4 linked regions of the Macaca mulatta genome follow. The protein of the gene in region 1 purifies or fractionates together with the protein of each later gene. This does not show direct contact. Links are inferred from orthologs where the notes say so. Each region holds a gene or a part of one and is shown in the gene's direction. Other genes may lie near its edges.

What was found.
Region 2: the proteins of INAVA (region 1) and CEP170 purify together in Homo sapiens (co-immunoprecipitation; 3 studies listed by BioGRID and IntAct, counting the BioPlex papers as one, with this or other methods). This does not show direct contact. The link is inferred for Macaca mulatta from reciprocal best matches to the Homo sapiens genes INAVA and CEP170.
Region 3: the proteins of INAVA (region 1) and CYTH3 purify together in Homo sapiens (co-immunoprecipitation; 3 studies listed by BioGRID and IntAct, counting the BioPlex papers as one, with this or other methods). This does not show direct contact. The link is inferred for Macaca mulatta from reciprocal best matches to the Homo sapiens genes INAVA and CYTH3.
Region 4: the proteins of INAVA (region 1) and CYTH1 purify together in Homo sapiens (co-immunoprecipitation; 3 studies listed by BioGRID and IntAct, counting the BioPlex papers as one, with this or other methods). This does not show direct contact. The link is inferred for Macaca mulatta from reciprocal best matches to the Homo sapiens genes INAVA and CYTH1.

The regions. Positions count from the first base shown.
Region 1 is NC_133406.1:58,537,955-58,543,400, forward strand, and holds the start of INAVA (innate immunity activator protein), read left to right. Parts: upstream 1-2,257; 5' UTR 2,258-2,684; coding exon 2,685-2,965; intron 2,966-5,446. UniProt on the Homo sapiens protein: Expressed in peripheral macrophages and intestinal myeloid-derived cells, is required for optimal PRR (pattern recognition receptor)-induced signaling, cytokine secretion, and bacterial clearance.
Region 2 is NC_133406.1:5,892,202-5,897,751, forward strand, and holds the start of CEP170 (centrosomal protein of 170 kDa), read left to right. Parts: upstream 1-1,985; 5' UTR 1,986-2,206; intron 2,207-5,550. Other genes in the region: SDCCAG8 (serologically defined colon cancer antigen 8), read right to left, coding at 1,006-1,072.
Region 3 is NC_133408.1:44,863,637-44,868,411, forward strand, and holds part of CYTH3 (cytohesin-3), read left to right. Parts: intron 1-4,123; coding exon 4,124-4,200; intron 4,201-4,314; coding exon 4,315-4,386; intron 4,387-4,500; coding exon 4,501-4,655; intron 4,656-4,775. UniProt on the Homo sapiens protein: Promotes guanine-nucleotide exchange on ARF1 and ARF6. Promotes the activation of ARF factors through replacement of GDP with GTP. Plays a role in the epithelial polarization.
Region 4 is NC_133421.1:88,385,040-88,389,814, reverse strand, and holds part of CYTH1 (cytohesin-1), read left to right. Parts: intron 1-3,631; coding exon 3,632-3,698; intron 3,699-3,996; coding exon 3,997-4,115; intron 4,116-4,473; coding exon 4,474-4,554; intron 4,555-4,775. UniProt on the Homo sapiens protein: Promotes guanine-nucleotide exchange on ARF1, ARF5 and ARF6. Promotes the activation of ARF factors through replacement of GDP with GTP.

The DNA.
Region 1 (5,446 bases):
CATCCAACTCTGCTTCCCTTTCTCCTCCCCAGCAAGAACTTGAAGTTTTTCCCCACTTCCCTTCCGCTTAACAGAAAAGCCCATCTGACCGAAAATGCTTGCCCCTTCAGCCAAACTGGGAAGGAGAGAGAGCTGATGGGGGCTTAGCGGCCTCTTCCAAATCGCACCTCCTTCATCCCCCTCCATGGGCTGAGCAGTCAGTTTCCAGTGAGGACTCTGGTTTGTGCCTCCATGATGCCTACTTCTCAGGCCCTTGACCTCTTCCCTCCGCCTTTGACCCACTTTCACCCCACTGCCACAACGGGAGTCTAGGCGCCATCGCCCTCACCTGCACTCTGCACTCGTGCCTGCCCATGCTTTCTCCCCACTCCAACCACTCACAGGCCATTCATTTTCTAAAGGTCAGTCTGTCCAGTTCATCTCCTGGGTCAACATTTTTCAGCAGTGTGATGGTTAATTTTACATGTCAACTTGGCTAGGCCCAGTGCCCAGATATTTGGTTAAACTTTTTTTCAGATGTTTCTAGAAGGTGTTTTGTTGTTTTGTTTTTTTTGTGTGTGTTTTTAGATGAGATTAACATTGAAATTAATAGACTTCGAGTAAAGCAGATTACCCTCCAATCTGTGGAAGGCCTGGTTGGAACAAAGTCTGATCTCTCTGGAGCAAGAATGAATCCTGCCAGCAGGTTGCCTTCAAACTTGAACTCCAGCTCTTCCCTGGGTCTCCAGCCTGAGAGTCTAGCCTGCAGATTCTGGACGTACCAGCTTTCACAATCCAATGAACCAGTTCCTTAAAAATCAATCAATCTCTCTCTTGCATTCTCTCTTTCTCGATATAGCTGTCTATTTACCTATCTATACATACACATCTTACTGGTTCTGTTTCTCGGAGAACACTGATTAATTCAAGTAGCTTCTCTTCAACTTCAGTATAAAAATCTTAAATCCTCACCTAGCCCACAAGGCTCTTAGTCATCTTAGCTCATATATTGCCTTTGTACAAATTAGAAAAAGCCACCCTCTCTAGGCAGATACAACTCTGACCAAACACAGGGCGAGGTGGGTGGAGAATGGTGAACCTTCCCTCTTAGTATGGTGCACAACCTGGACAACCACATGGAGCTGCCTTACTTTTGTTTGTTTGTTTGTTGTGTGTGTGTGTTTAGTTGAGACAGAGTCTCACTCTGTCACCCAGGCTGGAGTGCAATGGAGTGATCTCAGCTCACTGCAACCTCTGACGCATGGGTTCAAGCAATTCTCGTGCCTCAGCCTCCTGAGTAGCTGGGACTACAGACGCCCAGCACTGTGCCTGGCTAATTTTTTTTTGTATTTTTAGTAGAGACAGGGTTTCACCATGTTGCCCATGCCATTCTTGAACTCCTGACCTCAGGTGATCTGTCCGCCTTGGCCTCCCGAAGTGCTGGGATTACAAGTGTGAGCCACCGAGCCTGGTCGTTCATTGTGAGTTTCTTTTTTTTTTTTTTTTTTTTTAGACAGGGTCTTTCCCTGTCTCCCAGGCCAGATTGCAGTTTCGGGATATTGACTCACTGCAACCTCCGCCTCCCTGCTCAAGTGATCTTCCTACCTCAGCCTCCCAAGTAACTGGGACTGCAGGTGTGTGCCACCACTCCTGGCCAATTTCTTTATTTTCTGGTAGAGACGGGTTTTCACGATGTTGCCCAGGCTGATCTCCAACTCCTGACCTCAAGCAATCCTCTGGCCTGGGCCTCCCAAAGTGCTGGGATTATAGGTGTGAGCCTCTGCGCCTTGCTGCCCTGCTTCTGGATGAGCCCCTGACTGACGAATTAGCTTCGTCTCTCTTCCATATTCTCTCCCTTTACTCCTTCCTTATCCCAAACCCTAACCTCCCTGCAGCTCCTGGAACCCGCTGTGCTCCCTTGCTGCTGTGCTTTTGTACACCTGTCACTGCTGTTTCAAGCCCCCTCTTATCTTCTGTTATTGCTTCCTCTGGCCAAGCTTTGCCAAGGCTCAGCCTGGGTCAGCCTCCCCTCTCCTTGCCCGGGGTCCCAGCCCTTACTTCAGATACTGTGCTGCTTCATCACTCGTCTAGATTGGATACTCCTCCAGTGAATAGGGCTTGAGCTTTGATCCATCGGGCTGGGCACTAGTAGATGCTCAATAAATGTTTGGTAACAAGTGAAAACTGGGAAGTGAATGAATGGATGAACGGGGACACAGCAGCTCGCAGCGGGCAGCAGGAGGCGCTCCCCGAGAGGGTGCTCCTTCCCTTCAGAGCCAGCCCGAGTTCAGCCAGCGGCCCCGGCGGGAGGAGTGGGAGTGGGCCGGGGCCGGGGCCGGGGAGGAGCGGCCATCCCCGCGCGACCCACACACCCGGGCTCCGCCGCCCGCAGCGCGGCACAGCGAGGGGGAGGGCGCTTGTGGGGAGGACAGGGTCGGAGGAGCGCCCTTCCGCAGGCTCCTTTCATTCTTCCACTCGGGGGTCTCCAGGAATGAAAACTGGCCCCAGCCAGGCCAGAGCGCGCGAATGAAAGGCGGCACTGGGACCAAGAGAGAAGCCTCGTCCCGCCTGGGCTGCGGAAACTGGCGGCGCCGGGGGTGTCCCGCCGCGCGGGCGTCCGAAAGCGGGGCAAAGGGGACAGCCTTGCCCCTCGAGCGGCTGCTCCCGCAGCTCGCGCACCCCTGCGGGTACCTCGTCACTCCCGCATGCGGCCCCGTCCCGACTCTTGGATTGGACTCTCCAGTCCCTTCTTGCGTCTTCCCCTCTTTCATCTGGGCCTTGGTATGCCCCAGGGGACAGATGTCTTGGGATCTTTAACATTTGGGATGCTGCAAATGCCGAAGTTAAATGAAATACCTCCGGGGAGGGCAGGCCGCGGGGAGGCTCGCGGGGAGGGAAGATGGCCTGGACAAACAGGTCCTGAAGCTGCGAGGCTGGAGCGGAGGGCGCAGGGGCAGGCGGGCGGCGCCAGAGCTCCATGGGACAGGTAAGCGGGAAAACTTCGGGGCACCCAGCGCGGGTGAACTGGAGCGGGGGATCGGGCCCCTGAACCCATGGTCTTCAGCCTTAGCGGAGGGAGGGTGCCTACAGGGAATGGGGTTATGTATCAAGGGGGCAGGAATTCTGAGTTCCTACCAAAAATGCACACTCCCAGCCCCTCAACCTTTCTCCGTCGACCTTCTTCGTGCCTGTGGATCTTCCTGGCCAGGTTCCGGGAAGCCAGAAAGCAGCCAAACAAAAGGAGCAAAGTCTCGGGCCAGCCTGGATGTGGAGGGCGCGGTGGGGGAGGGGAGCAGGGTGGACAGGACAAAGGGGCTTTTTAGAGAAAGCCTAGAGGTCTCATTTCAGGGCGCATTCCAGGCTGGCTTGGAGTTCCCCACTCCACCTTTGCTTAGTGGAGGCGAACACCTTTCCTAGTGAGCAGGGAGCAGATGCAAGTAAGAAAACAGTGAAGGAACCATCTCCCACCCCTCCTGCCTGGAGGGTCCCGGGCTATTTCACTTCTTCCTTTTTTCACTGTTGGCTCTAGCGCTGGCCATTGATTCCTTAATTCATGAAGTAAGATTTTTAGCAGTGCCTGAGACTGCTTTGCTGGGGGCTGTTGGGGATGTGAAGATGGTAGGATCAGGCCCTTGCTTTAAAGAACTTCCAATCTGGTGTTATCAGAAGACGCTAGAAGAAGGAACTTTTTTTAAAAAAATGGAGAGTGGGTGGCTACAGCGCTGGGGAAGAGCTTTCTGATTCGGGACTTTTCCTTAGGAAATGAAAACACTAAAGAGGTCCAGTTTCCCTTCCCTGGGGAAGGGCTCTTGTCTGCAAAGATCAGATTCCAACTACTATAATGTTTTGCAAGGAAATACCACTTCCTCACCAACTGGTGGTCTGGATGGTGCTCTAGGGTTTGGGGCTGGGGCATCAGTCCCCTGACTCCCCAGCCTGGCTGGAGTGGGGAGCTGTTTCAGATTCCCAGCTGGCCTCTGGAGTGCCCACCTCCCCCATTAGTATTTTGAATTGAATGACATGGCTATCAGAGAGCTCCAAGGATGGCTCCCTGGGATTCTTGGCAGGAGGTTTGGTTTGCCAGCTCCCTTCCAAACCTCAGATTCTGCAGGGTTGGGAAATATTGAGTGTGAATTTGGGGGAGCAAGGCGTTTTTGAGAATTCCAAAGGATCAATGCAAACAGATTGAGCATCTGTACTAACCTCCCCTGAAGTCAGAGATGGTGGATTACCTGAGGGCAGGGATTCTTAACTGGGTTCATTGGCATTAGGCATCTGTAGATAGAATTCAGAGGGTTTGTAAACTAGGTGAGGAAAAAAAAGATAATTGTTTTTCACCAATCTTTAACAGATTTTAACATCACCTTTAGTTGTGAAGACAACAAATCACGGTAGCATTGGCAGTACCTGTGACTTTGCCATTAATAGATTTCACAGTTTCATATCACATTGCAGTCACAGCTGTCTTGAAATATTGTTTACACTCAGCCCTTGTATGAAATTACCCACTGCTAGACCCTGCTTAATGTTAATAAAGAAGCATATATATTGCTATGTTTTTTTATTTTTAGAACTTTATGTCATACAATTGACTTTTTTAGTGATCTTCTTAATTTTATTCTATGCATTAAGAAATGTGAACTGTGAGCCAATTCTAGAAACTTCCACCAACCCCCACCTGGAGCTGGGGGTGGGCAACGTGGAGGAAGGGCCGCTTATGCCCAGAGTTAACCCCTCTCTGTTTGACTTTGTAAGAAAGTGCCAAGCCTCTATGGGGAGGGACTGTGTGTCATGGAGGACTGGGGAAGGGCAGGACTGCAGGCTCTTTGGGAGACCCAGAGAACAAGCTCCCCATGGGGTAGGGGGAGGAGGAACTGTCCCCTGTTAGGGCCCCTCAGCCTCAGCCTGGGCAGAAAATGAGGTGGTCAGCCCGCAGCACTCTGGGGCTAGCATTGTTTGGAAAAAGGGTGTGTACAGGAATGTGAAGGTGTGCTGGGTGTGTGTACCGGAGCTGTGGGGGATGCTGGCGGACTCCAGTCCCATGAGTTCTGCTCCACAGGAGATGCCTGGTGAAAGCAAACTTCCTCTGTCTTCTCTGCACTCGGGGGTGGGGAGTGGGGAATGGGGGACAGGGCTCTTTAGGGTCTGGGGGAGGGGAGGCAATCCAGACAAATACTGAGGCACTGGAATCTGGGTGAGGGGAATGGTGGGAAGATCAGAGAGTGGGGGGAAAGGGAGGTGGTAAGATGAAGACTTGAGGGGTGCAGCCTGCTAGGGACAGGCAACAGTCAGCCTTAGTTCTGCTTCCCTCTGTGAAATAGGCTAGATTCCAGTTTCCCATTTGCTTGGGGGTCGGGAGGTCTCTCCTCAAGGGAGACCTTGAGGCTTATTTTTCTGTAGGAAATAAGTTCCATTTTGGTCTCTGGTTCCTTGCATTTGGGGAGTGGGCTTAGGGTCTAGGGTCACA
Region 2 (5,550 bases), about 53 Mb from region 1:
GCAGAGTTTATTATATTTAGTAGAATAAAAATTCTTCACTGAAACTTATAGTTTATATGTACACATATGTCCCATATAAAATTTATTTCTTACTATAGGTAAACATTTTAAGGAGTCTTAAAATCGCTGCTTTATGGGATTATTTCATTTGCTCCCCACAATAACCCTATGGACAATTCCATAACTTCCATTATAAGAGAATCGAAATTTCTAGATGTCATATATATTGTCCAAGGTGACAGCGCCATCTAAAAGTACAGACATTAAGTCCAACAGAGCTTAAAAGAAAATAAATACAGACATTACTTGTACAGATACTTGCTCATAGGGTAATGTGGTAAGACAATCTGAATTAATAAGGTTTTGATAATAGTAGTTATGGCTTGATTAGATAGGCTTTGAAGACAGACAAGCCTGATAATACCTGGCTCTGCAACTAACCAGCTGTGTGGGCTGTGGCCTGTAATTCAACCTCTCTGAGCTTCGATTTCCCCATGTGTAAAATATTCATACAACTGTTGTAAGCTGCAGATGATTTACTGTATGCAAATAGCCTAGACCAATTAAATGGGGGCTGTTGTGATTAAAATAATTATTAGTGTTTCCCCCCACGGATCCTATAAATCACATTCAATCCACTATGCCATAATTTAAATGTGTAAAAACTGTGCATCAGACTTTTATTGGATTAAACAACAAAGTATGGGAACTGGGCAAAAATGACATAGAGCTATCCAAGAGTCTCTGCTGTCGCTGGTTGAGAAGGATGCCAAGATCAAGGAGTTGATTCAGGTAACTAAGGGAATCTGAGGAAACATCGTTGCTTAACTGTAAAAACTAAATCAAACTACTTCATCCTCCTCAGAAGACCACAGCAAACATCCATCTTGCTCCTCTGTAGCCTGGATGGGGCAGACCCAGGTGTTAGGAGACGCACCTGGTCCGCTTCCGCCCACTAGGCCCTGGGCACCTCGGGGCTAGGGACAGAGGTTTGGAGCAACTCACCCCGGAGACTCCGTTGATACTGCCCCAGAATCTCCTCCAGGGTAGAGTTCTCCGGGGACTTCGCCATGCACACACTCTAGGCCCAGAGCTGGGAGTTACGTGGGGAAATGTCCAGCTTTCTCCCTTCCGAAAACAGCAGGCCTGTGGCCGCGGAGCGCCGGCCTGCTTCCTGCCGCGGCTGTCACAGGGGAGCCTAGAATCCCGCACGAAGCTCGTGGGGGCTCTTCCCACCCACTGGCCCTCGCGTTGGACCTCGGGAGTTGTAGTCCTCATGTTCAGCGCCTCCAAGCTCGACAATCTTTAGAGCCTTCCAGCTACACTACAATTCCCAGAGACCACTGCGCACCAAGCGCTAGCTCGGACGGTTGGGCTGCCAGAGCCTGTTGCCAAGAGACAGGCTTGCAGGCCCCGCCCTTTTCCTCCAGCCCAGCCTGGTTTAGTCCCGCCTCCATCCCGCTCTTCTGCCGCCTGGACCACCCCAAATGACAGAAAGGGTTCACTGAAGGCCTTGACGCTTCGAATTTGCTAATATGCAGCAGTTGATCCCTAGGTTACTCAAGGACGCAGAGAGGAACCTCTGAACCCTGCTTCGGTTGCGGTATTTTTTTTAACGGTCGAATAAATCCTCAAGAAATAGAAGCTCTAAATCCTCCAAACAGCCTAAATTGTAAAGGCGGCCGACACTACAACTCCTAGCATGCCCAGTAACCGGACCTCCACTTGGAGTTGGCGCTCTGCCCGCTGGGAACTGTAGTCCTTGTTGGTTGCGGTCCCACCTAACTCCGAGGTCCTCTTCATTGTTCTAGCTGGTCTTTCGGGGCACGCCTGCGCAGTGGGCAAGCTGGAAAAACGTGTGGGTGAGACCCTCGCACAACCCCTTTTCATTGTCTGTGTCTGGCGCCTGCGCAGTAAGGAATCGTTGGAACTGGGCAGGAGGAGGGGATAGGGTCCGGCTCCTCGCCCTTTCCCGAGGCGCCTGCGCACTAGGCAGCCGCTCTTTGCCGTTACCGCTATGTGTGGGGCGTGTGTGGAATAACGTTATTGCCCAGCGGAGCTGAGGGCCCCGGAGCTCGACCGCAGCGGCAGCGACGACAACAGCGGCGGCGACGACGACGAGGTGGGGGGAGGACGGCGTGCGAGAGACTCACGGGACGCGACGCGCCCCGCCTCCCCCGTCCGGTCCCTCTCGCCACTGTGAGGGGTAAGTGATGCGATCGGCTGCTCGGTGTAGGCGCCGCAGCCGCCGCCGCGGCTGCTTTTCCACGTCCTGCTCCTCGGGTTTGCAGCGAGGACTCGGGCGCGGCCCGCCGCGGGGCGGGGGTGCGGGGCTGCGGGGCTGGACCGCGAAGGGGGCGCTTCCCGGATGCTCCGCGCGGCGCCGCCACCCCCACCCTCTGCCCGCCCAGGACCGGGGTCTGGACGGGACCACCCTTCCCATCCCCCACCCGCCGCCCTCGGGAGCTCCAGTCCTGCGGCCCCCCGGCTTTCCCGAGTCCCTTGCCGCCGCCTCCGCGTCCCCTAAGTGCATTGACTCATTTTCAGCTTTCTCCTGGCTTTGTGCAGCCCTCCCCCTTCCGCCGTAGCAGTTTGCGAGGGGTGCGGGCGGAGCATTGGAGGGAATGGCTGCGCTGTCGCTGGGGAAGGGATTTTTCCCCGATTGGAGCAGTTCCGCGGGCCGATCCCTTTTGTGTGGTTGGTTTTGAGGTGTGAGGCCGTTGGCGAGGTCAGGCGAGGAGCCTTTTGGACGCGTTGGGAGGGCGTGGAAGACGCGCTGTCATGCACCCTGCCAGGCGACTGCACCCCGCGGAGGCTCTGGCTCCGTAGTAAACCCGGGGGAGGAGAGAGTGGCTTCCTGTCGGCTTCATTGTCCTAGGATTCAAATATAGGGTTTTGGTACGTTTCGCTTCCATTTTATGCAAGCGATGAAAAAATAACATTTGCAGCTGCCTAACACAGGGCGGGAAGACGTGGGATTTGTCTACTAAGTCACAGAATCTCTGTTCAGTGGCGTTTCGTAGAGTTTTATTTATTTATTTAATTTATTTTTGAGGAATGTAAGGGAGACAGGGACTATGCCTGCTGGAGTCCAAGCACTGCCAAGGTGATCAATATAAAATTACTAGGTGACATTGGAGCCTGGGCTGGAGAGGGCCTGACAACGAAGCTGTTGTGTCAGGGAAATGAACCAGCAGAATTGTTTTTTCAATGGGCGGGTAATGCATTTATGTTCCTGAGGGAATAGATACATCTTTCCGTTTTATTTTTTAAGCAAGTAGAACAAACAAAACAACTGGCCCAGGTCATTTCTGTTTCCGAAGTTGTTACCTCATTTTTATTGTATTAATGAAAATTTAGCCATTTGGGAGGAATTTGGCGAAGCAGATGATACATTTGATTGAAAATGCATCTTTTAAAACGATTTCATCCTCAAGTTTACAATGGATACAGCCGTTTGCTGGCGTTGCTTCTTAAAACACACCAGAAGAGAGGATAACGCAGGATGGGGAGGAGCAGGTGGAGGAATAATGGGAGAGGAGAGAGTGACATTTTGACTATAGTATCTGGATCTTCACTGGTATAACCCTAGCTGGGTATGCTTCAGAGACTTAGGAATTCAGCTCTGGAAACAGTACACTGATGAATAGCAAGTTACGTATTTTTCTGTCATTATTTTTTAAAAAGTAAAACTAGGGCTGCCTTTAGCTCTTCCTAACTTTGTAGGTAACACGGAAGAGCCCAAGTGCACTTGACAGAGGAAGACACTAAAACTCAGAAAGTTAACTGACTTGTCTGCCCAAGCCAGACTGTTAATGGAAGGCAGAGCCAAATGAAACTCAAGGTCCATTCTGCAGAGTGATCTTTCCTGTGTCCCCCCAGCCCTTTTACCCTGTGAAAATGTATGGAAAGCTTCTTTACGCTCTCCTTGAGCAGGCTGTGACTATCACTGAACTTGATTCTCACCGTTATTAATCAAGTTCTTGCCTCTGCGATGTAAAAGTAGTAATTCTTCTGAAATGGACCTTTAGTTGTATAAAGTAACTTACTAAATGAGGAAAGATGTCCTAACATGTGCTTTTCATAAAAACGAAGTGTTGCAGTGTTTTCCCTACTACTTAATGGTAGGTTTTAGTATTATTTCTTGAAAATCAATAGTATTTTATAATAATATGATGATCAACTCTATAGGCTGTGTTAAAAATAAAATTTCTGCATAACAAGAGCCTGTGATGTTTATTTTACCACAGTTAATGAGTTGTAATCATTAATGAGTTATTAGTGATTACTTTCAACTTAAACTAGAATTTACATTTTAAGATATATTGACTTTGTTTTTTATTGGGTTGATTTTGCCATAAAGTGCTCTTTTCTTGCCTTATAATTTTAATCGTTTAATTTTATGTTGCATTTTAATAGACTTCTTTAAAGGATTTATTATTTATCTTAAATTTCAACTTTAAAAAATGTGTAACTAAATTTCAGTGTGTGGAATTATATTCAATCATGCTTTAAATGTATTTTACTGGTAAATTTCATTGTGTTCTGAGATTATTTTGTATGGAAATAATCTGCCTGTTCCCTATTTTAACATTAGAATAGTGAAATTTATACTGTAAACCTTAGCATACATTCTGCATATTAATGCTGCTATGGTACTTTTTAAAATTCTGTGCTTCGTGATTTGTTTGATTTGTTCTAAGTATCAGTTTCTTGTTCCTTTTTATCTACTGAAAAAAAGAACTAGTTTTATTATTGTATCTGATTGCAATTAGATAATGCTCATCTAGTACTAAATATTGTATATGCTTAAGTTTTTTTGTCAAAATTTTTTTATTCCACAAAATTCTATTCCTGAAAAATATTTTTTCTATACTAATTAATATGTAAAGACTTTTCTTTCTTATCTGTCCCAAACACTGGGATGTTAAGCAGTGTACTTTTCAACTAAGTATCTGACAGACAACCTGATATTTAATTGCTAACTAAAATATCTGTACAGTTGCAAATTATTCTGGAAGTATAACAAAAGAGCAGTTACATGCCATTTGAAGAATGCTTGGTGAGTAGATAATATTGACTGAAGCATTCAATATTGATCTGTTTCATTAAGAAATGGGATACTTTTGATGGGAAGAAATATCAGACCATCTTTATCTCATTAATAACCAAAATTTCTAATCAAATACCCTAGGTTTTGATTTACTTACTCAAATATTTCATGAAGGATTGTTCAGCAGTGAGTTAGCCATTGTGAGAGAGAAAAAACATCTGTCTGGTAGTGTGGTTGATTAAACTGGATATATTGTACAGTTTAGCAGAAATGTTTTAGCCAAAGCCAGTGACATAGCCAATGTGTGTTACCAGTAAAGCCCACTTTTGGATCAAATAAAGGTGCAGAAACAAAACAGCAAAAGCAAAGTTAAAGAAAACCTCATAAAATCTACTTACATACAAACAGGGATTGTGACAAAGTATAGAAGTGGAGAAGAATCCCAAGCATGCATTGTTGAGGTCTGAAAAACAAATGACACATAGCAGAGAACAAGT
Region 3 (4,775 bases), on another chromosome or scaffold:
GGGACCTGGAGCACTCGGGGATGCCGTGTGGGAGCCGGCTTGCCCCCACCCCGTGTCTCCAGGGGTCTGCAGCAGTAGAGAAGCAGCCAGCCAGCCCTGTCCCTGCGGCATCACCCTCCACCCCATACTAACCCAGCAGCGCATGGAGGGATTTCGGGAGCTCTGTAAAGGCCCCTGGAGCGATTTAGGGCACTCGCGTGCGGTTTTAGAGATGCGGAGGGGTGTTTTGCCTGTGGGGCGGGGATGGTTGCCGTGTGCCCACAGTGAAGCCTTCCAGATGCCATGGCTGGGCTCACGCAAGCCCTTCTGAGAGCAGGCGGCCACCGGGCAGCACATAAGACCTGGAGTGGAGTGTCCTGGTGATTTAAAAAAAATTTATCATTCGGATGCAGTGGCTCATGTGTGTAATCCTACTGCTTTGGGAGGCTGAGGCGGGAGGATTGCTTAGGCCAGGAGCTTGAGACCAGCCTGGACAATATAGTGAAACCCCGTTTTTACAAAAAAATAAAAATTGGCCTGGCACGATGGTGTGTGCCCGTAGTCCCAGCTACTAGGGAGGCTGAGGCAGGAGGATCGCCTGAACCCGGGAGGTTGAGGCTCCAGTGAGCCATGACTGTGCCACTGCACTCCTGCCTGGGCGACAGAGGGAGACCTTGTCTCAAAAAAATAAATAAATAAAATAACAATTATCGAGGAAGGATGAGACACTGTGTGACAGGCACAGGCTTCCTCAGCTGGTGGAAGGGATGTGAGTCCCACAGGTCTGCCTTTCCCATTAGGGTCTTCGACTTGGCCATTGCTCTTTGACTTTTTTCTGGCTCTGCCGAGGTTTAGGGGAGTTCTAGGTATTTGCCTGAAAACCTCCCACCATGGTCTTGGGCTTGGGTGCCTGAGAGACCAGATCAGATCACTTCGTGTGAGGGTTCTAGAGTGAGGGCGGGGGGGATGTAACCGGAAACAGCAGCAGGTGCTCTGGGGATGGGATAAGTGGGACGTTCGTTTGATTAGATGCCTCCCTTCTGGTTCCTGCATTGCCCCCCAGTGTCCCCTCGAGGGACAGTGACGCCGTCAGCCTGCCTGGCAGTTAATGTGGCCTGTGCCACCAGGGAAGGGTCGGCTCTGGAGATGTAAATGCGTGAATGAAATGAAGGCACAGCAGAGCTCGTGTTATCTAACCTGTTTTCTGGTTGGGCAGATAAACAGGCCACAAAATGAGTGCACACAGCGCTCACGGGAACCAAGAGCTGGCTGGGTGTCGGGTGCCAAGCGCGGGGACCCTGGAGGGGCTGGTGCAGCTGGCATGGCCTCAGTGTGGTGGGCGGCCCGGTGAGCGGCTGCCACTCTAGGGTGCTGGCTTCCTTGCCCTCTCCCACCCAGGCACCCTGTGTGCCTACTGTGTTCTCAGAAGCAAAGTTCGAGACCAAAGGCTGGCGAGCCAGGGCCCTGGCTGGAGGCAGACGAGACGGGTGCAGGATCTAGAATGCTTCCAGGCATGCGCTGAGCAGGGAGCGCGACCTGACTTGGCTGTATTCTTACTGTAGATTGGCTTTTAGAGCAGGTGGTCTTAAAAAGGCCAGGATGCTTTGCCAGAGCGTAGGAACCCTGCTGTGTACACAGGCGTGGCTTACGATTGTTGGTAACTTAAGACTTTGAGTCTTGAATCAATTACCACACACACACACACACAAAAAACAGGAGGTGGTCCAATCCAAGCTATCATGCAGAAAGTGTGTGCACGTGCTGTGTTTGTGCGTGTGGATCCGTGTGCGCACCTGCCTGCTCAATGAAAATAGTAACTTGCAGAGAGAAAGTGGTAATAGTAACTTGCAGAGAGAAAGTGGCTCCCGTCTGCAGGTTCCAGAAACCAGGCTCTTGTCTGCAGGCGAGAATGCTGTGTGGCGTGGCCAGAAGCAAGCACGAGCAGAGCCTGCTGGGCTCTGAGACCAAGCTCACCACCCACTGCCCTGGGCCTGCAGTCCTGGTCTGCAACCATCCCCTGGCCCTGAGGACTGGACAGGGATGGGGCTGTCCATGGGGGGTGTGAGCAGGGGACCTGAGGGTGGAGCTGAGAGGCCGCCTGGCAGACCCCTCCCAGGCAGACCCCTCCCAGGCGGACCCCTCCCAGGCGGGGGCCAGGTAGACAGGCTAGTGGAACATACAGGCCCATCGCTGTCCACCATGCCGGGAGCATGGAGGAACAGAGCAGGTGCTGGACAGAAGCACACAACCTGGGGGCTCCTGGATGAGCTCCCCAAGAACTGGAGACTCAGATAGCTGGGCAGGGAGAAAGGCCACAGCTGGGGAGCCAGGAAGGGCGGCCCCTGCAGCCGCCCAAGGAGTTGGGTCTAAAGCCGAGTGCAGTGGGACCCTTTGCGGGGGCGTCAGGCCGGGAGGGGCACGATCGCCACACGCTTTTGAAAAGATGCCTCTGGCTGCTGTTTGGGGGCTGGCAGCTGGCACCAGTGTAGCTGGAGCAGGGCCTGCTCTGGAGTCTCTGGAGGGAAGCAGAGGCGACTGTGACAGCGACCGATGTCAGGGTAGTGGAGTTGCTGTCAGCTGATTCTGCCACAGCAGCTCGAGCTGGAGCAAGTGCCTGGAAGGAATCAGCACTGTCCCCCTGTCCCCAGGGTCTCGGGGACATAAAATGCCTCTCCCTGCTCACTGGAGGACTGAGGGACAAGGCGGGGTTGCCCCCAGGGTCTCCTGCCCTCCCCTGTGGACTTAGGCCTCCCTGGTATGCTGCAACGGAGGTGGGGAAGGTGAAGGCCGAGGGCTTGCATGGAGCATGGAGCCCGTGGTGACAGGGACACGAGGGCAACAAGGGCTTTGGGCCTTGCTGGGGCCTGGCTGGGTGTTCAGGGGACCAGTGAGGCGGCCCCACACAGTTGGGGCAGTGGGTTCCAGACGGAGCAGCTTGCAGGGATCGGGGAGTGGAAGCCCCGCCAGGGCTCAGGAGAGATGTTGGGGGCAGGGTTTGAGGGCTGGGGAGATGCAGCAGGAAGCTTGGGGGGCAGATTTGCCCAGACCAGGGTCTAGATTTAACAGGTGGGCTGGTGGGACACTGATGAGACTGGGGCCTGTGGGGAGGCGAGGAACAGCTGGAGACTGGGCTTCTGTCCCAGGCTGGCGGTGGCAACCACATTGCAGGCTGCCTTAGGCATCAATGGAGGATGGCAGTGCTGAGTGAGGCAGGGGCCGGAGGATCCCAGAGGGGCTGCGGAGACCCCTTCCGGCCGCCAGTACGGCTGAGCCAGGCTTCCTGCCACCTGCAGCTGGTTCCTCCTCACCCAGGGTCTCTGCACACCAGGCCCCGAAAGGGAAACCTTTCGGGTGATCCGCAGAGCCCTTCTCACAGCATCTTGCCGCCAGGCCTCAGCGCCCGTGCTGGCCCCCACACAGGGAGGCCGCTCCCCTGCCAGCCTGTCACAGAGAAAGCCGGGTGAGCTGCGCGGCGCTGGGGAGGCGTGGGGCAGAGCGGCCTAGTACCCCAGGGAGCACTGAGTTCATTGCCCCGCGCGTGCGTTTCTTTGAATTATTTAAAAAACAAACACAGGCAAGGCTAGCAGCTGAAGTCAGTTTGTGTCTGCTCAGTGTTTAAGGATCAGAGATGTCCTTCCCTTAGTGAGAGGAGGGCAGGTACAGATAGGGGTACGCGCGTGCGCTCCGGATCTTGTTACAGAATTAATTCAGTCTCACGATTCCCTGGGCCCAGGGGTGATTGAGTTTGGGGGATCCCAGGGCTGCCCAAGGGCCTCTGTAACGTGACAGCCACCTGACATGGTGGGTCAGGCCCTGGACAGAGCCCGGCGAGCCGTCCTGACTTCATCACGCTGCCATCTCATGTGGAGAAATGACGCCATCCATCCCACTAACTCCCAGGAAGCGAATTGGAGTGCGGTCGTGTCATCAGGGGGCCCCTCGGTGCCGTGGAGGGGCACCGGTGTGGGCGGGGTGGGTGCATGCGGGGCCCCGCGGTGGGAACACCGAAGGGCACCTAAACCCGAGCCTGGCGCCTGGCAGCCTTTCTGAAAACGCAGTGGTCTGTGCAGGTCCAGGGCCCCCTCTTGGACCCGCGGGCTCCCTGTGCACGGAGCACACACTCACGGGGCCCTTCTGCTTCTAGGAGGACGCGTGAAGACCTGGAAGCGCAGGTGGTTCATCCTGACTGATAACTGCCTCTATTACTTTGAATACACAACAGTAAGTAAGGTTGGGCCTCCTGGTCGCCTCCCGGCAGTCACGGAGCTGCCCTGGGGCCGAGGGACCCCCAGGCTGGTGGCGCACAGTGAGCGCCCGTGTACTTCTCTCTTGTAGGATAAGGAGCCCAGGGGAATCATCCCGTTGGAAAACCTCAGCATCAGGGAGGTGGAGGACCCCCGGAAACCCGTAAGCTCCCTCCTGAACCTTCTCTCCTGCCAGCCACCTGGGAGCCATCCTCACTGCCTGCAGGGAACCTGGCCCCCAGCCCCTGTGACGGCCTCCCCTCTCTTTCTCCACCAGAACTGTTTTGAGCTCTACAATCCCAGCCACAAAGGGCAGGTCATCAAGGCCTGTAAGACGGAGGCGGACGGCCGCGTAGTAGAGGGGAACCACGTGGTGTACCGGATCTCAGCCCCCAGCCCGGAGGAGAAGGAGGAGTGGATGAAATCCATCAAGTGAGCGGGGTTCGGGGGCGGGGCCAGGCCTGTCTTCTCATGCTGGTTGGAGGGCGGAGGATGTCTGGAACGTGGATGCTTCCGTGTGCAAGAGCGGACCCTCTGCCTCCAGAAACCCGA
Region 4 (4,775 bases), on another chromosome or scaffold:
GGGTATATACACTCATCAAAACAAATTGAACTGTACACTTAAGATGTGCGCATTTTGTTAAATGTAAATTTTACCTCGATCTTAAAAATGTAAAAAAATGGCTTTTTTTCTGGTTATAAAGGTAATATACCTTTATTGCAGAAAATTGGTAAAACACAAAAAAGTATAAAAAACAAATTTCTCATAAACACTTATCCCGGAGATAATCAGGATTCATATTTTGGTATGTTTCCTTTCTGTATATTCTGGTGTCTGCACACACGTACTCAGAATTCAGTGTGCCCTTTGTTTTTTCCTGTTGATTAATTCTCTGTCAGTTACCATAGAACATCAAGGAAATGCAGACACCGGGAATGTGAGTGCATTCAAAGTACTCAGCCAGTGAATTTGGGAAGACTTGTAATCATGAACTGCATCCGAAGTTGTGAGTCAGGGAGTGGTTTTTTAGGTTATTACTGTTTTTTAATCTGGAACTTAAAATGGTTTTCCAGTATTGAAAGCACCAAGCGGGAAGTGATTCTGCAGATCCCCAAGGATCCATCCATACGGGTACTCAGGCTCACCCTGCATTTGTTTCTCAAGCACGCATTACATTTGCTCGGACTTTCCCACAGGAGAGAATTCATGTTTCTCATCAACGACCTGATGCCAGCATTATGTAGAAATTATCCTAAATACTATTTAATCAAGCAAAAATAATATACTCATGGAGTACAAGATTTCACTTTCTGAAATGTATACGCGTCAGTTAACTAAGGCGATCCAGTAGCAGGAACAGCTGTTTTGCTTTGGACACCTTACTAGGGTGTCAGACCTGTGTAGACTGGGGAAGGCCCCTTAGAGAGGTAGCTGCCTAGGGCCTGGAGCTATAGGGGCTCCAAGTGGAGCAGATGGAGAAGTGAGCTGGCTAGCTAGTGAAATGAGGGCGCCATCTTTGGTGTGTGTCCCGGGCAGTCATGTGGCACAGATTGTGGCTGGCAGAGATCTGGGAGTGTGCGTTCTGGTGGCTGCAGGAAAGCCTTTGGTGAAGGACCGGACTGAGGCCCAGGAAGTTGAGTATTCCCAGTAGTTTCACTCCTTGCTTCTGTGGGCACCTCTGACACTGCCTCGCCACTTACACCGGAAACCATGAAACAGGCCTTTCCTTGTGGTATTTGTTTGGAAATACTGATCAAAGTAATCTTACTGGATTTAGAAAAAAATGATTAGATGATCATTTTAGTTAAATAGGAATTTCTAGATATCTGGTCATAACCCTTCATTCTGGCTAAAATTAAATGGTGTTTCCCCTGTGACTTTATTTCTTAAGGCAGCTGTTCACAGGGGATCCCAGATTATCTTACACCTGGAAGTTCTGATACTACTCACAGTTTTCAGGTGTTCCTTTCAAAAGGTCAAAACAGGCTGGATGTGATGGCTCACGCCTATAATACCAGCATTTTGGGAGGCTAAGGTGGGAAGATTGCTTGAGGCCAGGAGTTTAAGACCAGCCTGGGCTACATAGGAAGACCCTGTCTCTACAAAATGTTTTAAGAAGTAGCCAGTTGTGGTGGCACCTGCCTGTAGTCTAGTTACTCAGGAGGCTGGGGCCTGAGGATCACTTGAGCTCAGGAGTTAAAAGTTGCAGTGAGCCACAGTCTCACCACTGTACTCCAGCCTGGGCGACACAGCAAGACCCTGCCTGGAATAAAAACAATAAAAAACACCAACTCTCAAAACACTTAGGAAGATGTTCTTCCCTCCAAGGATTTAGCTAGCGAATACCTGTGTTCTTCAAGGCAATAACATGTTACGATTTTGTTTCTGGGCAACTCTTTTGCTCTCAGAGATTATAAAATTACTATTGACATTGATGGGCAGTGGTTCTTAAATTTGGGTGCACACCAGAATTACTGCAGAAGGTTTTAAAAATTCAAATTCCTAGGTTCTGCCCCTTGTACTTTGAGTGACTCAGCCAGTCCAGAGCCTTGCTACTCAGACTTCACACATGGGATCATGTTAAACGTACAGAAGCACAGGCCCCTTCTCAGACATAGAATCTGTTTTGATGAGGCCCCAGGTGGTACGTATGTATAAACGAGCAGAGCGTCTTCATGTCGGACATGCTCCCAAGGCTGCTGGTTGGTGGATCAGACTGTGAGAAGCATGGTCTGTGAATCTGCATTTTTCATTCTGATACAGTCGAGAAAACCACCTATTATTTAGCAGCTTCTTAAAAAGTTAAATATAGATGTACCATATGACCCAGCAGTGTCCAGCCCTGGATATCTCCCCAGGGGAAATGAAAACATGTTTCCACACAAAGGCCTGTACACAAATGCTCATAGCAGCCTTCTGCATAATCGTCCCAAACTGCAAACAGCCTGAGTGTCCATCATCTGGTAAATGGATAAACAGATGTGGTTTATCCATACCGTGGAAGATGACGCAGCCGCAAGAAGGCATGTGGTACTGGCCCACACTCCAGCACGATGACCTTGATGGCATTATGCTAATGAAAGAAGCCAGATCTGAAAATCCACATATTTTATGACTCTGTTTGTATGATATGTCCAGAATAGGCAAATCTGGAGACAGAAAATAGATTAATAGTTGCCTGGGGATGGAGGCAGAAGTGAGGATTAACTGTAAAAAGATGTGAGGAATTCCGTAGGGAGGATGAAAATGTTCTAAAACTGGATTATGGGCCGGGCGCGGTGGCTCAAGCCTGTAATCCCAGCACTTTGGGAGGCCGAGACGGGCAGATCACAAGGTCAGGAGATCGAAACCATCCTGGCTAACATGGTGAAACCCCGTCTCTATTAAGAAATACAAAAAACTAGCCGGGCGAGGTGGCGGGCGCCTGTAGTCCCAGCTACTCGGGAGGCTGTGGCCGGAGAATGGCGTGAACCCGGGAGGCGGAGCTTGCAGTGAGCTGAGATCCGGCCACTGCACTCCAGCCTTGGTGACAGAGCGAGACTCCATCTCAAAAAAAAAAAAAAAAAACTGGATTATGGTGATGTTGCACAACTTAGTATACTAAAAATTCAGATATGTACCTACAGTAGGAATATTATAAGTAAATTATACCCTGATAAAGTTTTTTTAAAAACCATGTTAAAAAAGAAAACTGGCCAGGTACAGTGGCTCATGCCTGTAATTCCAGCACTTTGGGAGGCCGAGGCGGGCACATCGCTTAAGTGCAAGAGTTTGAGACCAGCCTGGGCAGCACAGTGAGACCCTGTCTCCACCAAAAAAAAAAAAAATTAACAGGGCATGGTGGCATGCGCCTGTGGTCCCAGCTACTTGGGAGGCTGAGGTGGAAGGATCACTTGAGCCCAGGAGACAGAGGTCGCAATGAGCCGAGATAGCGCCACTGCACTCCAGCCTTTGGACAGAGAGAGACCCTGTCTCAAAAAAAAAAAAGAAAACCTCTGATCCAGGGTAGAAGGAGCAAATGAGCTTGAAGCCAGGTTCAGGCTTCAGGTTTCAGTTGGCCTTTCATAGTTCCACCGGATTATGCCTGTTGCTTTCCTGCATAAATCTTTCAAAAATCTGTGTACATCAATGGCCTCATGTGGAAATGATACTAGTCTTTCAAGCCTTTCCAATGGCCTGAAGTACTAAAATGGCTGTGATGGTTGTTTTACAGGAAAAACATGCAGAGGAACAAACAGGTAGCCATGGGCAGGAAAAAATTTAATATGGACCCTAAAAAGGTAAGTGAGAAAGAAGCGGGAAGTGGTCCATATTAGATGGGGTTTTTTTAATAGTGCTCAGATAGACCCTAAAAACGTTTCTTTCCAAGTGTTACAGTTCATGTTGCCGTTTTGTAGAGCAAATGTTATGCGCTAAGCCCTTGTTCCTAAACTGTGACTCTCCGGCTTTTTAGGTCAGCTAGCAACTATTTATTAAATATTCCAGTGCGCCCACACCCATTTCTTCCTGTGCCCTTTCCTCTTCTTTTTAGCTGTTTCCCAGCAAAGCATCATTGGCGTCTTCATTGTCTTTTTCTAGGGGATCCAGTTCTTAATAGAGAACGACCTGCTGAAGAACACTTGTGAAGACATCGCCCAGTTCTTATACAAAGGCGAAGGGCTCAACAAGACAGCCATCGGAGACTACCTAGGGGAGAGGCAAGGCCTTGGGGATGCGCGCGTGCTAGGGAAGGCTGTTCAGGAATGACACAAAGAAACAAACTCCCAAATACGCTTTAGGTTCTTGGAGGGGTTTTTGCCTTAAATCATCTGTAGCCACACTGCTGTTGAGGGGAGGCTTTTCTGGGGAATAGTGGTGGGTCTGTCCGGGAGTCATGGGGACATCGAGCTTGTTTAGCCAGTCAGCAGAGCTAGCCAGTCTTCTTGCTGACAGTGTGCGAGAGTAGCTGTCTGGACAGCCACAGGACGGAGTGTGGGAGACATGGCCTGGCTGGAGATTCTCAGTGTCAGTGTCTGACTCCTGCTTTCTCTCCCATTTTTTGTCTTTTCTCGATAGAGATGAGTTTAATATCCAGGTTCTTCATGCATTTGTGGAGCTGCACGAGTTCACTGATCTTAATCTCGTTCAGGCACTACGGTGAGTATTCTTGAGGTGAGCCGCTTTGGAAGGAGTGGGAGGCCACCCTTTGATCATGAGTCTGTTCTGGGTGCCATTTTATTGGAATTATATCTTTGGGTATGATTTTGAATATTTTGGAGTATTTTGGAGGGAAGAAATCTGTTGGTCTCTGACTGGAAACGACTGGATGGTCAAGGGGAATTCAGTTCTGTTACGTTCCGGAGGCAGATTCTGTAACA